Oryctolagus cuniculus: one gene and its partners. The protein of the gene in region 2 purifies or fractionates together with the protein of the main gene of each other region. This does not show direct contact. Links are inferred from orthologs where the notes say so. Each region holds a gene or a part of one and is shown on either strand. Other genes may lie near its edges.

Region 1 (4,469 bases), on a different chromosome or scaffold from region 2:
TGTGCCAGAGCAAAGCCAGGAGCCTGGAGTCTCACCCAGATCTCCCACATGGGTAGCAGGGGTCCAAGTATTTGGTCCATCTTCTGCTGCTTTTCCCAGACCAATAGCAGGGAGCTGGATTGGGAGTGGCAGCCATTTGGGGAGTGAACCTGCAGATGGATGATCTCTCTCTATATCTCTACCTCTTCCTCTGTAACTCAAATAAACAAATCTAGTAAAACAAAACAAAGCTTTACTTAATTTTGATTATCTTCAATTTCTTACAACTTTCATTTCTTCACTGCTAAACTTTAATCAACTTTTTTTTTATCATGCCCATATGACTTTATCTTCTGCACTGAACCTTTCTCTTCCCAGCTTACCTGCTGCAGTGGCTTCCTTTGTGGTTATTCCTGCCTCCAAAGTTTTGGTACTGCCACAGCCAGCTTTCTAAAACAGCCCTTTGGCTGTGTTATTGCTCTGCCCAAACACCCTCCTTGAATACAGGTACCTAGAGGGTAAAATTTAAATTGCTTAGTCATTTATCTGATGTCCTCCACCAACTGGACCCCAGCACAGCTTTCTAGGTTTCCCTCACATAATTCTTCTGCTTTTTCTAAATTGTCTAGCCAGACTGACTTATTATCCCATATGTGTCCTACCTTTTCATGTGTTGAGGCATTCTGCTTAATACCCTCCTTGCTGGCAACATATGCACCCCACAGAATCATCTAGTGATTACCCTAAATCTTGCCTTTTCCCTGTGCTTTTCAGGCAGTTCTAGCTTCAAATGACCACTATCTATCCTGTACTCTAAGAGTACTCATTATCTCTTACACTTAATTGATTCATTTCAATTAAATATGCACTGTAGCATCACTTACACCAGTAAGTATTCAGTGTATATAACTATATTTTAACTTATTATGAATTCATATCACATCCCTCATATAAATGGTAAGTCCCTCAAGGTAAAATAGTCTAGTGCTTCTTTGTATCCACTGATATACAAAACCTCTGAGATATTTAAATATTGTTATCTTAAAAAGAATCAGTTTTTCAGACATGTAGCCAAATTGTCCTTGCTCTGCACCCTTATTTATAAATAAGGCACTTTTAGAAGTGCAAACTTCTTTTAGGCACCTTAAAGACATACTTTAGAGTTTACTTTTTTGAAAAAATAAAGAGGACTCTCTGTAAGGGTATCTGGAGGGAAGTTGCAACAAAACAGTAGCTACAGTTGCCACAGTTGTATCTTCTGCTTCACCATGTTTCCTTTGGTCAGAAATGCACTAAGTCCTCTCCAAGTTCAAAGCATTCAGCAAACAATGACAATGAAGAGCCACCAAAGACGTACACTTGATTTTCATAACAAATGTGGTAATGCTGTATTAGCTGGTAGAGCCACATTCTGTAATGTTATATAGAGATATACAGCAACACAGATTGGAATAGAATGGAACCTGTCTCCTGTTGGCAGTCACTCTACAGGAATGGAGAGATCAGTAATTATCCCAGTTGGTGTGATACTGAATAGTCTCAAAACCAACTCATAACTGAAGCCAAATAAAAGCACTGTACCTATTACAATACTGCATTGTTGAAGAAATAAAATATATTTGAAATCTTCAAAAATAAAAAATAGGCAGTAAGTCCTAACTAGAGAATTAGAAAAGGGAATCCACATGTCATTTTCAGTATTTTTTGAACATTAACAAAAATTACAGCTGACCCTAGATAGTTAATTTAATATGTGTTATTAGCTGGAATTCATGAACTCAATAAAATGAATAAACATGTTATTTCAAAGTTCTGATTGGTTGTTAATAACTTATTGGAAGTTTTGGGCTTTACAGAAGGAAAACAATATAACTTAGACAAGACTTGAAAGCACAGCCCCTGAAGAATAAGGAAATCATAGTTACTTGTACTAAAAACTGAAACATGACTATTTAAATATAAAATATAGTTTGCTTAAGTTTGGCCATAACTTTTATATGATACAGCTGAACTTCTTTTCAATTACTAAATTTGTCCTTTTGTTTAATAGATATTATGCCTTAGAAGTCTCATATTTCAAATCCTCTTTGGATCGCAAATTGCTTGAGCTTCTGTGGAATAAATACTGGGTGAATACGCTGAGTTCCTCTAGTTTGCTTACTGTAAGTATTATACTTGCAAGAAATGCATGTAAATTTTACCTGAACTACATTAATTGTTTAATATCTGAAACCCAGTTTCACAAGAAAGGTAGTACCTGACTTGGCCAAAATACCAAGACTCTGTACCACCAAGGCTGAATCCGGATACAAGACCAATTCAAGGTCTGTGTCATATGCCAGAGATACCAAGTCTAATTGGCAAATAGAGTGGCCAGACCAGGATGAGACCTGCCACTGCCTTAAAAAGACCTCTAGGGGAAAAAAAACACAAATTTTCCAGGTGTCTCAGACACGACTAAGGTCACAAGTGGCAGCATATCAAAAGAAATTAGTTTAAACAAGAAAGGGAATCTTATAAGTTACAAGATCTAGAGGTACAGCTTAACTCAGGCACAGCTAAGTTTGCATTTAAGCAATATTGTAAAGTCTTAGTTTTTCTCTCTCAACATTGATTTCATCTCAGTCAGCTACAATTTCAGTCTTTTTTTTTTTTTTTGAAGATTTATTTATTTATTCGAAAGTTAGAATTACACAGAGAGAGAGAGAGAGAGAGGTCTTCCATCCAGTGGTTCACTCCCCAGATGGCCACAATGGCCGGAGCTGCTCTGATCTGAAGCCAGGAGCCAGGGGCTTCTTCCGAGTCTCCCATTTGGGTGAACAGGCCCATGGACTTGGGCCATCTTCTGCTTTCCCAGGCCATAGCAGAGAGCTGGATCAGAAGAGCAGCAGCCGGGACTAGAACCAGCGCCCATATGGGATGCCGGTGCTTCAGGCCAGGGCGTTAACGCACTGCACCACAGCGCCGTCCCCAATTTCAGTCTTAACATAAAAGCATGTTTATAAAATAAACATAAAAAGGCAGCTTTAACTTCAGACCTTAGTTTCAGCTTTGAAAGAAAATCAACACACACAAATACACACACTGAAGCATGTACATATCCCAGCATATTTCTAGGCAAACCTTATGGTATCTCACTGGGTGGCCATTCTTAGACCTGCTGTTGGCCCAAGGGAATGAGTTTATTGAGTGACTGGGTCAGAACAAATGCTTTGCTGCTGGGCTGGGGGGAAGCAGCTCCTTCAGGAGTACAGGGACTAATAAGGGGGGAGCAGAGGTCTCAGAGGATAATCAGATGGTCATTATCTTAAAGCAACAGATTCTGCACAGCCAAAGAAAAAGGATATTCACTGAATATGTTCTGGTAAATGATTAAATGTAAGATATTTATTTAACATTCAATTATTATATTAATTATTAAATGTAAGGATATTTACTTAACAACATTCTCCATATTTAGAACTTAGGAACAGCTTTTTTAAAAGTAGGCCACTCCATATACTGCAGTATACATAGTGATTAGTACCATGGGATTTGAAATAAATCAGATTTGAAAAGAATGCTGCCACTTTACTGGCTCTGAGTGATGTTTGGAAACTTATTTAATGTGAGTGAGCCTTTTCTGTATATAAAATAATAACATCATTAAGTATACTGAGAAAATTAAATGAAATACTTGATATAAAGCAATTAGCAAAGTGCCTGGCATATAATAAGCCTCAATAAATGACTATTATTATTTTTGTTTGGTGCATTGCATTCTTGAAAGAAAACCTCAATTGAGCCTGTTTTTTATAATTTTAAACACAATTCTGACAAGTTTTCTGTTCTTATTTCTTAATCCTCGGTGGTCAGAAGTATCAGATTAGAAGGAAGGAAAGCAAACATAATAGCAAACATTTATTAAGTGCCTCCTGTGTGCCAGACACTGCTAAATGCTTTATATGTGTTGTTTCCGTAGAGGCAAGTATACTAATAGCAACCAGAAGTGAGAGCTGATGCAAGGGGAGAAAACACTGTGTAAGACCAGAGCAGTCTGAACCTTTGTATAAAGGCAAGCAGATCTACCTACTCAGCCACACGGCTGTCCCTGTATTCCAGCACTGCATATATGAGGACATTAATAATCAAGAAAAGGTTAAATTACATTTTCTCCCTTTCTGTGATTTTATATACTCATATAGGACACTGCTGCATTTTAAGAAAACATGTAAATTATGTTCACTTTCTCTTTCTCCAACTAAAGCAGTTAATTATAGCATAAAACCTAAAAGCTACCAGAGAAAAATTTTTTTAAGAAATTAGTTTCCTGTATTAATTTTCTGGGCATTTGAAATGTGATTGGGTATATTTTACTGTCAGTTTACTAGTATAACCATTTCTGCTAGCTTACATTTTTATGGGCTCTGTAGCTAATCTTCTGAATGTGGAAAAGTCTGTAAACCTTAGGCTTTTCTCCAAGTCTGTGGGATAAATGTTGATTTCCTAAA
Region 2 (4,569 bases):
GGAAAAGGCTTTTATTTATTCAATGTACAACTTAAGGCTGGGTCACATGTAACTTTACCAAGAAGCATACACAAGAGTTTTTGGAGAACTAATTTCCATATATACATACACACACACACACACACACACACATATATATACATACACACACACACATACATATATATGCATTTCTAAAACTGACCTGAGAGGGTGAGGTACATCTTTCTCTACCTTCATCATTTCCTTTAACAAAGAAAAAAAAAGGCATTCTCCATTTCCCAACTATATACCTTACACTGACTCAAGGTATAAAAACTCCTAGGTATCAATTAAATATTTTTAAGTAAAACCAAAAGCCTTCTGGTATCCCACCTGAGATAACTGGATCATTTATTTAAGAATAGCACCACAAACACCCAAATCCACCTTTAAAACATGTAATTTCAATAAAAGTTACTTTTTAATAATTATTCATCAAAACTGATCATATATTGTTTTTATCAATCACATACTAAAAACTGTAATGAAAATTAAACCCAGGAGAAACATTTAACATTAAAGCATTATGATAACAGAAAACAGCAATTTAAATGTACTTTTGGACACAGAAGGACAAGACAGGATTATCAGTAAAAGGACTTTTCAAGTATACAACAACTTATATTAGGTTAAGTTCTGTAGGAGAAATACAGTAGAAATAACTTCAAGAGAAAAAAGCAACTGCATAGAATATTCTGCAGTTAAGGAAGAGTTTATTCATATTTTTAAACAGATGATGTGATTATTAAATCAGTATTCATTCTACCAGATAAATTTAGAAGAGTTAGTATTTTTAAGATGTCAGTACTCACAATATAGCCACAAATCATGTTCTTAGCATCTATTTAAACTTGTGATAAAAATTCCAATTCCTCTTTTAAAACAATGGGGCTACTCCTGTAGGTCACACAGAAGGTTCAGAAGGCAAATTATGTTTGGTTTTGGGAATTTGCATTTCAGGTGCTCACAGGAGCCACAAAGTGGGGGGGCACAACCCATACAGCTTTTTTAGAAATGAATCTAAAATATAGGTAGGAGATTAAAGGTTATACGTACTAGTTTAAGAAGTCCTAGTTATGGCTGTGATTACCTATGGCAATAGGCAAAAGGGGCCAAGGATGGAACACTAACATTTAAGGATAAGGAGAAGGTAACTGAATATTTAAATGGGCAACACATAATGAGTGAATTTTAGTGCTTACCACATTAACAATGAATGAGTACTCGTGAATAGGAGAGGAAGGAGAAAAAGTAGACAGATGTATTGGAGAATTAGGAGAAAATCTGTCACAAAATAGAGGCTCAATAGTTTGCCCCAGGTCACACGAAAAGTAAGGAGTGGAGTTGTAATTAAAACCCAGGCAGTTAACTCCAAAGACAATCGCATTCTTAACCACCGTGCTGCACAGCCCTCCGAGACACAGAGGACAGAGAGGTGTTCAGCAAGTTCCTAGGAGAGACAGAGAGAGAAGGATTTAGAGTGCAACCACAAAGGTTAGCTCAGAGGCAAGAGGGAAAGCAGGATAGTTTTAGATCTGGAGCAGGAAGTGCAGGCAATCACTCTTCAGTCTTATCAACATCCATTTTGAGACCCATTCCTTAAATAAAAAGTTCCTTTCTCAGTCTTTCCTTTATCTTTGTCTTTTCCACATGGTTACCATGGGCAGGGGGACCTCTGGGTATTGCACACTTCTAAAAAAAATGAGATTTCATTTCCGTCCCGGGTTAGTCTAGAGAGTTAACCCCTATTTCAGAAAAGTATCAAAAATTTCAGGTCGATGATACCCAAACCTAAGCTCAAATCTCCTTGTGCCAGTGATTTAACTCTTATAACCTAGAGAACTGCAGAAAATGAGCTGGATTTCTACAGGCGGACACGGGAATAGGGACAACTTAACGCTGCTAAAAAGAAAAACAAAACGTTTTGATTTCATTTCTGAAAATATTTCTTTCCGGACATCCAACAAATCTAGAATAATATACTTCAACCTATTAACCGCGGCCGTCCCCGGGGGACGTGGTTATGGGCATCTTGGACGCTACAGTTCGGAATTTTTATGGCTGTGTGGAAAGGGGGGGAGGCTGCATTTCGACCCGGCGGAGAGCAGATGTCCTGTCCTCTCTGCCCGATCGAGGTCCTCCGCAGCGCTCACGTCCGCTGCGATCACAAATAGTGGGGTTCTCTAGGGTTCTACCACGAACTAACGGGCTAACTAATGGATCCGAGCCTGGACGGTCTCACGGAGCTGCTGAGAGAACACATGGCATGCCTTTCCCAGTTAACGCGCAATATAGACGTAAGCCATAAGGGCCGGCCTCCGTCCCTCCTTCCCTCGGCCTACACCACGATGCAAAACGCCCGTTCGCGACCAAAAATGTCCTGCAGGAACGCACGCCCCGCTTTCTTCGGCACTCCTCGCGAACACCAACCCCGTCCCGCCGTGGGAGAACTCGAAAGCGGGGACCTAGGGCTGGAGTCGGCCCCGATCCAAGGCGGCGTGTGTTTGGGGGGAGGAATCCCGCCAGCGAGCAGCAGCGGTTGAAGACCGTTACTCACCATTCCTCAGAACGCCAAGCTGGGGCTGGCGGAGCACCGAATTGAAGAGCATGAGGGCCGAAGGAAGAGACTCAAGTGAGAGAAAAGCCGTGAAAACGCCCCCCCAAGCCCCGCAGAAGCCGTAGCTTGCGCCCCTCGCAACGCGACTCGTTTTTGCCTCCAACTCCCGCCACTGGGAGCCCCGGCCGCCAAACTCCGCGCCAAACTGACGTCACACGCTCTGATTGGCTCCCGGGGCGGCGTCCGGCCGTCTCAGAGTCACTTCCCCCTTGGAATCCCCGCCTCCTTTTCTCCCAGCCGCGGGAACCTAGGGTTCGGGAGCTCCCTGAGCGCCTGCGCGGGGGGCCGCAGAGGCGCCGGCGAACCGTGGGGTGACCGGGGCGCATGCGTGGCACGGCTTGACAGAGCGCGGAGGAAAAATCCGCGAGAAGGCGGCAGGAGAAGATGGCGGTGCTGGGGCAGAGTTTGTGATCTGTCTGACTGGGCTAGTCGAGTAACTATTCGAGTCATGGCGTCAAACTCAACTAAGTCATTCCTGGCAGATGCCGGCTATGGCGAACAGGAACTGGATGCTAACTCTGCTCTTATGGAATTGGACAAAGGTATTCGAAAGAGCGGGCTGAGCGGGGGACCGGGCGTGGGGGAAGTGGCGCCGCCAGGTGGTGGCAGCCTCTGGAGGGGCTGGGAAGGCGCATGCGCGCAGCCTCGCTGGGCGGGCGGCGCCTAAGCTTTTCTGGGGCCAGGGCTTTGGCGATCTCCGGATCCTGCAGGAGAACTGCAGGGTCGCCTGATGGACTTTGCGTCCGCTGAACCAGCAGCGAGCTCTAGTGGGGGTCCCGTTTTGACCGCTTGAGGGCACAGTCCCCCGATTTTCCAAACAGCGAAAGTGGCTAGTTCCTAAAAACACCAGGTTGAAATTGTGAAAATATTCTTGAGTGCTTGCAGTTGCGACCAGGTCTTCATCACGACTTTGGCACTGACTTTGTAGCTCTTTGATTTCCGCAGCTCTGTGGCCTGCGGGTTACAAGGTAGGTTAAAAATGACCAAGATCACCCGAAAAGCATGGCCTGTGCTCATTCCCTGGACACAAGTTGCATGAGTTCGGTTTCCTTACAGGGGGCAGCTTGGCGTAGTAGAAGGAACTTTGGGGTTCTACTGAGTTGAATTTCAGTTCTGCTCATTTTGGGATCTTGGACGAGTCACCTAACTGCACCTAGCCTCGACTTACTGTCTGCAAAGTGGGTCCAGTGCCACTGAGCTGGAGAGATTTGTAATTATTAAGTGATATAATTGTATGCAAAAGAAGCATTTATTAAATGCTGAAGAGGTACGCTTTTCTGTATAGATGTGAATATAGGAGGCAAGGCGAATATTTATTAGTGAAGAACTCGAGTATGAACATGGACCCTATGATTCAGTATACTTCAAGGACTTCTGTTGCATAGGGGAAGTATTTTATCAGCTGATGTACACTTAATATTGGATTATGTGTAGCCCGTGTATTATCATAGAACTGGACTGGAAGTCAGAAGGATCCTTTTTTTTTTTCCTAAGATTTATTTATTTAATTGAAAGAGTTACACAGAGAGAGGAGAGGCCAAGAGAGAGAAAAGTCTTCCATCCGATGGTTCACTCCCCAACTGGCCACAACGGGCAGAGCTGCACCACTCCGAAGCCAGGAGCCAGGAGCCTCTTCCGGGTGTTCTATGGGGATGCAGGGGCCCGAGGACTTGGGCCATCTTCTTACTGCTTTCCCAGGCCATAGCAGAGAGCTGGATGGGAAGAGGAGCAGCCGGGTCTCAAACCGGTGCACATATGGGATGCCAGTGCTTCAGGCCAGAGCCTTAACCCTCTGCACCACAGCACTGGCCCCAGAAGGATCCCTTTAAGTCCATCTGAAGCCCCTTCCAAGCTCTCTTGATGACTTTTTGAGGCCCCTCCCTTTTTTAAACTGAAGATGTTCTCTAGCACATCGGTCCAACTGGTCTACA
Region 3 (4,469 bases), on a different chromosome or scaffold from region 2:
CGGCTCGAGGGCTACGGTGTCAGCGGCTTCGGTGACGGATGCCTTTTCCCTACCCCCCTTTCCCCCACACTCCCATGCTGCCCAGACTCTCGGCCTTCCCAAGGCTTCCAGTGCCGCCGCCCCTCACCTCCTGGACACAGGCGCACGACTCACACTCCTCAGGTTCCAAGCAGCTTTGGTGGAGCCTGAGACCCAGCCCGACATGAGATTTCCACCCTCGTGGGACGCCCCTGCCCACGCTCCTGCTCCCTCCAGGCGTCACCTGGCAGGGCCTGGGGACCACGGAAGTTCCCGTCATGGACAGTCTGCTAACGCAGCAACTGTGGGCCGGGTTACAGGCCCCGACGCTGCCCTTCCTGGGCTTCTCTCCCCGCCCACAGCCCAGTGCTGCCCTTTGCTGTTTTCAGAACAGGGCACCTGCTTTACCAAGCAGCACTGATTTTCGCCGTCTTCCCAAGGTTAATTTCAGAGATTTTTTTTGATTCATTTATTTGAAAGACAGAGCCACAGAGGGAAGTGACAGAGGGAGATATTTCCATCCACTGGTTCACTCCCTAAATGGTTGCAATTACCAGGGCTGTGGCCAGGCCAAAACCAAGAGCTTCTTCCGGATCTCCCACATAGGTGCAGGGGCCCAAGCATTTTGGCCATCTTCTACTGCTTTTCCAGGCCATTAGCAGGGAGCTGGATCTGAAGTGGAGCAGCCAGGGACCAGCCCTGTGGCATGGTGGGTAATGCTGTCACCTGTGGTGCCGGCATCCCATATGAGTGCCAGTTTGAGTTCTAGCTGCTCACTTCCAATCCAGCTCCCTGCTGTGGCCTGGGAAAGCAGTGGAAGATGGCCCAGGTCCTTGGGCCCCCGCACCTGCATGAGAGACTGGGAAGAAGCTCCTGGCTCCTGATTCGGATCAGCCCAGCACTGGCTGTTGCAGCCATTTGGGGAGTGAACCAGAGGATGGAAGACCTCTCTCTCTTTCTCTGCTTCTCTCCAACTGCCTTTCAAATAAATAAATAAATCTTAAGAAGGGGGGGGGCTGGCGCTGTGGCATAGCAGGTAGGGTTGCTGCCTGCAGTGCCGGCATCCCATATGGGCACCGGTTTGAGTCCTGGCTGCTCCACTTCGGATCCAGCTCTCTGCTATGGCCTGGGAAGGCAATAGAAGATGACCCAAGGGGCCAGCACCGTGGCTCACTTGGCTAATCCTCCGCCTGCAGCGCCAGCATCCCATATGGGCGCCGGTTCTAGTCCCAGTTGCTCCTCTTCCAGGCCAGCTTTCTGCTGTGGCCTGAGAGGCAGTGGAGGATGGCCCAAGTGCTTGGGCCCTGCACCCGCATGGGAGACCAGGAAGAAGCACCTGACTCCTGCCTTTGGATCGGTGTAGCTCTGGCCGTGGTGGCCATTCGGGGGGTGAACCACCGGCAGGAAGACCTTTCTCTCTGTCTGTCTATAACTCTACCTGTCAAATAAAAAATAAATAAATAAATAAAAAAGATGGCCCAAGTACTTGGGCCCCTGTGCCCGTGTGGGAGACCCAGAGGAAGCTCCTGACTCCTGGCCAGCCGCTGCAGCCAACTGGGAAGTGAACTAGCGGATAGAAGATCCCCCCCTCTGCCTCTCCTCTCTCTGTAATTCTAATTTTCATATAAATAAATAAATAAATCTTAAAAAAAAAAAAGGAAGAAGAAGAAGCAGTGGAGCAGTCAGGACTGGAGCCAGCACCAATGTGTGATGCTGGCGCCACAGGCCACAGCACGGGACCCACTCCCGAGCGCTGAGGGAGGCGTCAGCGCGCCTCCCCACTTGGCTCTCACGGCAGCCCTCCACCCTGCACACCAGAGGCATGTGACCTGCCCAGGGCCATGGCTCCAGCGGAGCCCAGTGTGTGGCTCCCTCTGCTGCCATGAGCCTGGATCTGCTGTCCCCTCTGCTTTCTCTCTCCTGGCTGCTTCCTCTTGAAGCTAAATGCAACAGAGGGGAGCAGGACACAGGCGTGGGGGCCCTGTCCTGGTTCAGCCCCACTCTGCTCAGCACACGCGAACGCCAAGGCCGTCTTCCCTCCCGCTCCTTCCCTTCCTCCTGCCTGCCCCGACCCACTTGTACCATTTCTGGTTCCTCAGATTCCCTCTTCTGTCTCCTGCGTGTGTGTCTCACCTCTCCTCGCGTGAGACACACTCACAAAATGTCTCTCCCTTTCTTTGCCTGGATTGAGTCCTGGCTCTTGGCTTCAGGGCACCAGCCAAGTGGGCGCTGGGGAGTGGACCCGAGGACGGGAACTGCCGTTCTGCCTTGATCTCTCCCTGTCTGCCTCTCAATCTCACTATCCCACCCCCCAGGAAAACCCTAAGCTCTTTAAAAAAAACGCCTACTGGCCAGTGTGACTCCGCGCGCGCACACACACACACCCCCACACACACACACAGTCCTGCAGGTGCGGAGCCCCTCGGCCACGTGCTGAGTCATGACAAACGCTACCAGCGAGTACAAAGGCGCCCCGGGACGGCACAGAGGAAGGGACAAAGGGGTTCTTATCTCAGCGAGGCGGCAGAGGAGCTGCAGTACTCACTGGGTGCTGTGGTCTAAGTACGTGATCACGCGATCTCCTTCCTCTTCCAGACGTTTACTTACATGGTTAAGATATTCTGGAACCTTCCAAAGAAAACATTTAAGCACATCAGTAACAAAAAGGTTCTTAGTGTTACCCAAGAAACGGAAATTTTGTTTCCCTTATAAAATTAAAAAACAAAAGCAGAGTATACAGTCAGCCCCAGTTGGGGGGGGGGGCTGTGAGAAACACATGAGCAGCTTCCCGGAGACCCAGCTCTGGAGTCAGGGCCCAGGCCACAAGCCTGCTGTGTGCCTGCTCACCACACGGGCCCATGCACAGCTGGGTGCTGAGAGCCGGGCGGCAGGCTGAGCCCCCGGGGATGCCTCACATGCCCCCGAGGCTCTGTCCGCCCCGTGCAGCCAGGCCTAGTGAGGCAGGTCACAGTGCACAGGCGCCTCCTGGATGAGGCAGAAACCGGGGATGAGGCGGAAACCGGGGACGAGGCGCATTTTTATGACGACGCGCTTTTTTATATATTTTTTTCAATGCTTCACACAGATGACAGATTTTGACACATTTCACTTTGCAGATTTAGGATTTGTTTCCTTATCTTCTTGCTTAAACCTGAGTTCCTTTACAAATTTCAGACCCTACCTTACTGGCTTTTGATTTTTAAGGGGGAAGACAATAAAACAGCTTCTAAGTGAAGGAAAAGAAATTAAATTCTTACCCTAAGAAGAAGAGAGCTAACTACTGGGATTTTGCGAGATCGTGGCTTTGAGACGATCTCCAGGAACGTGCGCATGTGTGCGGTTAGCCCGGGTCTATTCCCACAGAAGGGGAGCATGGCAATTCATGCCTCATCGTCTCACCTCTCTTTCTTGCATCAATCTTTGGCCTTCTGCAGCATATAAACAATTCGTCTCTTCCAAAAATCTCAGTTCAAATGAGTCCTTATACACCTAAGAAACCAGAGAGTCATTTCAGTCAGCAAACTTGAAAGCTGGCTTTCCCAGCACCCCGTGACCTGCGGGCCCTGGGTTGGGTCCGGCAGGGCTCTGTGCATGCTACAAATACACCCTCTGATTTTCACACGTGACACCAACAGCTTTCCCAGGTCTTTGATTTCTTATTCCACACTTCCCATGAAAAAGCTGGCATTTTTATATAGGCACATTTATCAACCTTTTCTCCTGTGGCTCCTGGTTAGCCGAGTCATCCCCCTTGCAGGGACTAAACACGTCCCATGTTCCCGACAGCAGGGTCTGCGCCTGAACCTCTGCTGCTTCCCCTGCTCCGGGGAGGGCAGCCAGGAGGCAGCCAGTCCCGGGCCAGAGCCCGCCTGGCGGCCGCGGCGCTCACCTGCAAGTCGGACAGCATGCTCAGCAGGCTCCGCAGCAGGCTCCTGTCCACGGCCTCCCCGCTTCGCTCTCGTTCGATTAAGAGCAGAATGCCATCGATGGTCTTGCTCTGAACCATCCTGTCACTAATAATGTGGTTTCGGAACAGTTCTAATCCCATGTCCCTGGACAAAGAGGAAAATAAGACTTCATTTCTGGTTGCCGTAGGAACAGGCCCCCGCAAACACGTGTGCTTGCTCCCTGCAGCCGGTGCCAGAAGCCCTCTGGGGCTGGTGCTGAGGCCCGGCGGGCAGAGCTGCCGCCTGCAACCCCAGCATCCCACATGGGCACTGGTTCCGAGATCCAGATGCTCCACTTCCGATCCAGCTCCCTGCTGATGTGCCTGGGAAAGTGGCGGAGGATGGGCTCAGCGCTTGGGCCCCTGCCAGCCACGTGGGAGGCCCGGAAGCGGCTCCAGCGGGGCCCAGCCCCAGTGGCTGTGGCCATCTGGGCAGTGCACCATGGTGGGAACATCTCTCTCGCTGTCTCTTCACCTCTGTAACTCTGCCTCTGAGGAATGTTGA

What was found. The genes of interacting proteins can lie anywhere in the genome.
Region 1: the proteins of DTL (region 2) and COPS5 purify together in Homo sapiens (affinity purification with mass spectrometry; 6 studies listed by BioGRID and IntAct, with this or other methods). This does not show direct contact. The link is inferred for Oryctolagus cuniculus from reciprocal best matches to the Homo sapiens genes DTL and COPS5.
Region 3: the proteins of DTL (region 2) and CUL4A purify together in Homo sapiens (affinity purification with western blotting; 15 studies listed by BioGRID and IntAct, with this or other methods). This does not show direct contact. The link is inferred for Oryctolagus cuniculus from reciprocal best matches to the Homo sapiens genes DTL and CUL4A.

The regions. Positions count from the first base shown.
Region 1 is NC_091437.1:92,673,815-92,678,283, reverse strand, and holds part of COPS5 (COP9 signalosome complex subunit 5), read left to right. Parts: intron 1-1,111; exon of another isoform or gene 1,112-1,629; intron 1,630-2,029; coding exon 2,030-2,141; intron 2,142-4,469. UniProt on the Homo sapiens protein: Probable protease subunit of the COP9 signalosome complex (CSN), a complex involved in various cellular and developmental processes.
Region 2 is NC_091444.1:26,551,817-26,556,385, reverse strand, and holds the start of DTL (denticleless protein homolog), read right to left. Parts: upstream 2,930-4,569; 5' UTR 2,631-2,929; coding exon 2,579-2,630; intron 2,551-2,578; exon of another isoform or gene 2,416-2,550; intron 1,297-2,415; exon of another isoform or gene 1,224-1,296; intron 226-1,223; exon of another isoform or gene 204-225; coding exon of another isoform or gene 185-203; intron 1-184. Other genes in the region: INTS7 (integrator complex subunit 7), read left to right, coding at 3,087-3,180. UniProt on the Homo sapiens protein: Substrate-specific adapter of a DCX (DDB1-CUL4-X-box) E3 ubiquitin-protein ligase complex required for cell cycle control, DNA damage response and translesion DNA synthesis.
Region 3 is NC_091440.1:713,425-717,893, forward strand, and holds part of CUL4A (cullin-4A), read right to left. Parts: intron 4,071-4,469; coding exon 3,908-4,070; intron 3,508-3,907; coding exon 3,418-3,507; intron 2,647-3,417; coding exon 2,564-2,646; intron 1-2,563. UniProt on the Homo sapiens protein: Core component of multiple cullin-RING-based E3 ubiquitin-protein ligase complexes which mediate the ubiquitination of target proteins. As a scaffold protein may contribute to catalysis through positioning of the substrate and the ubiquitin-conjugating enzyme.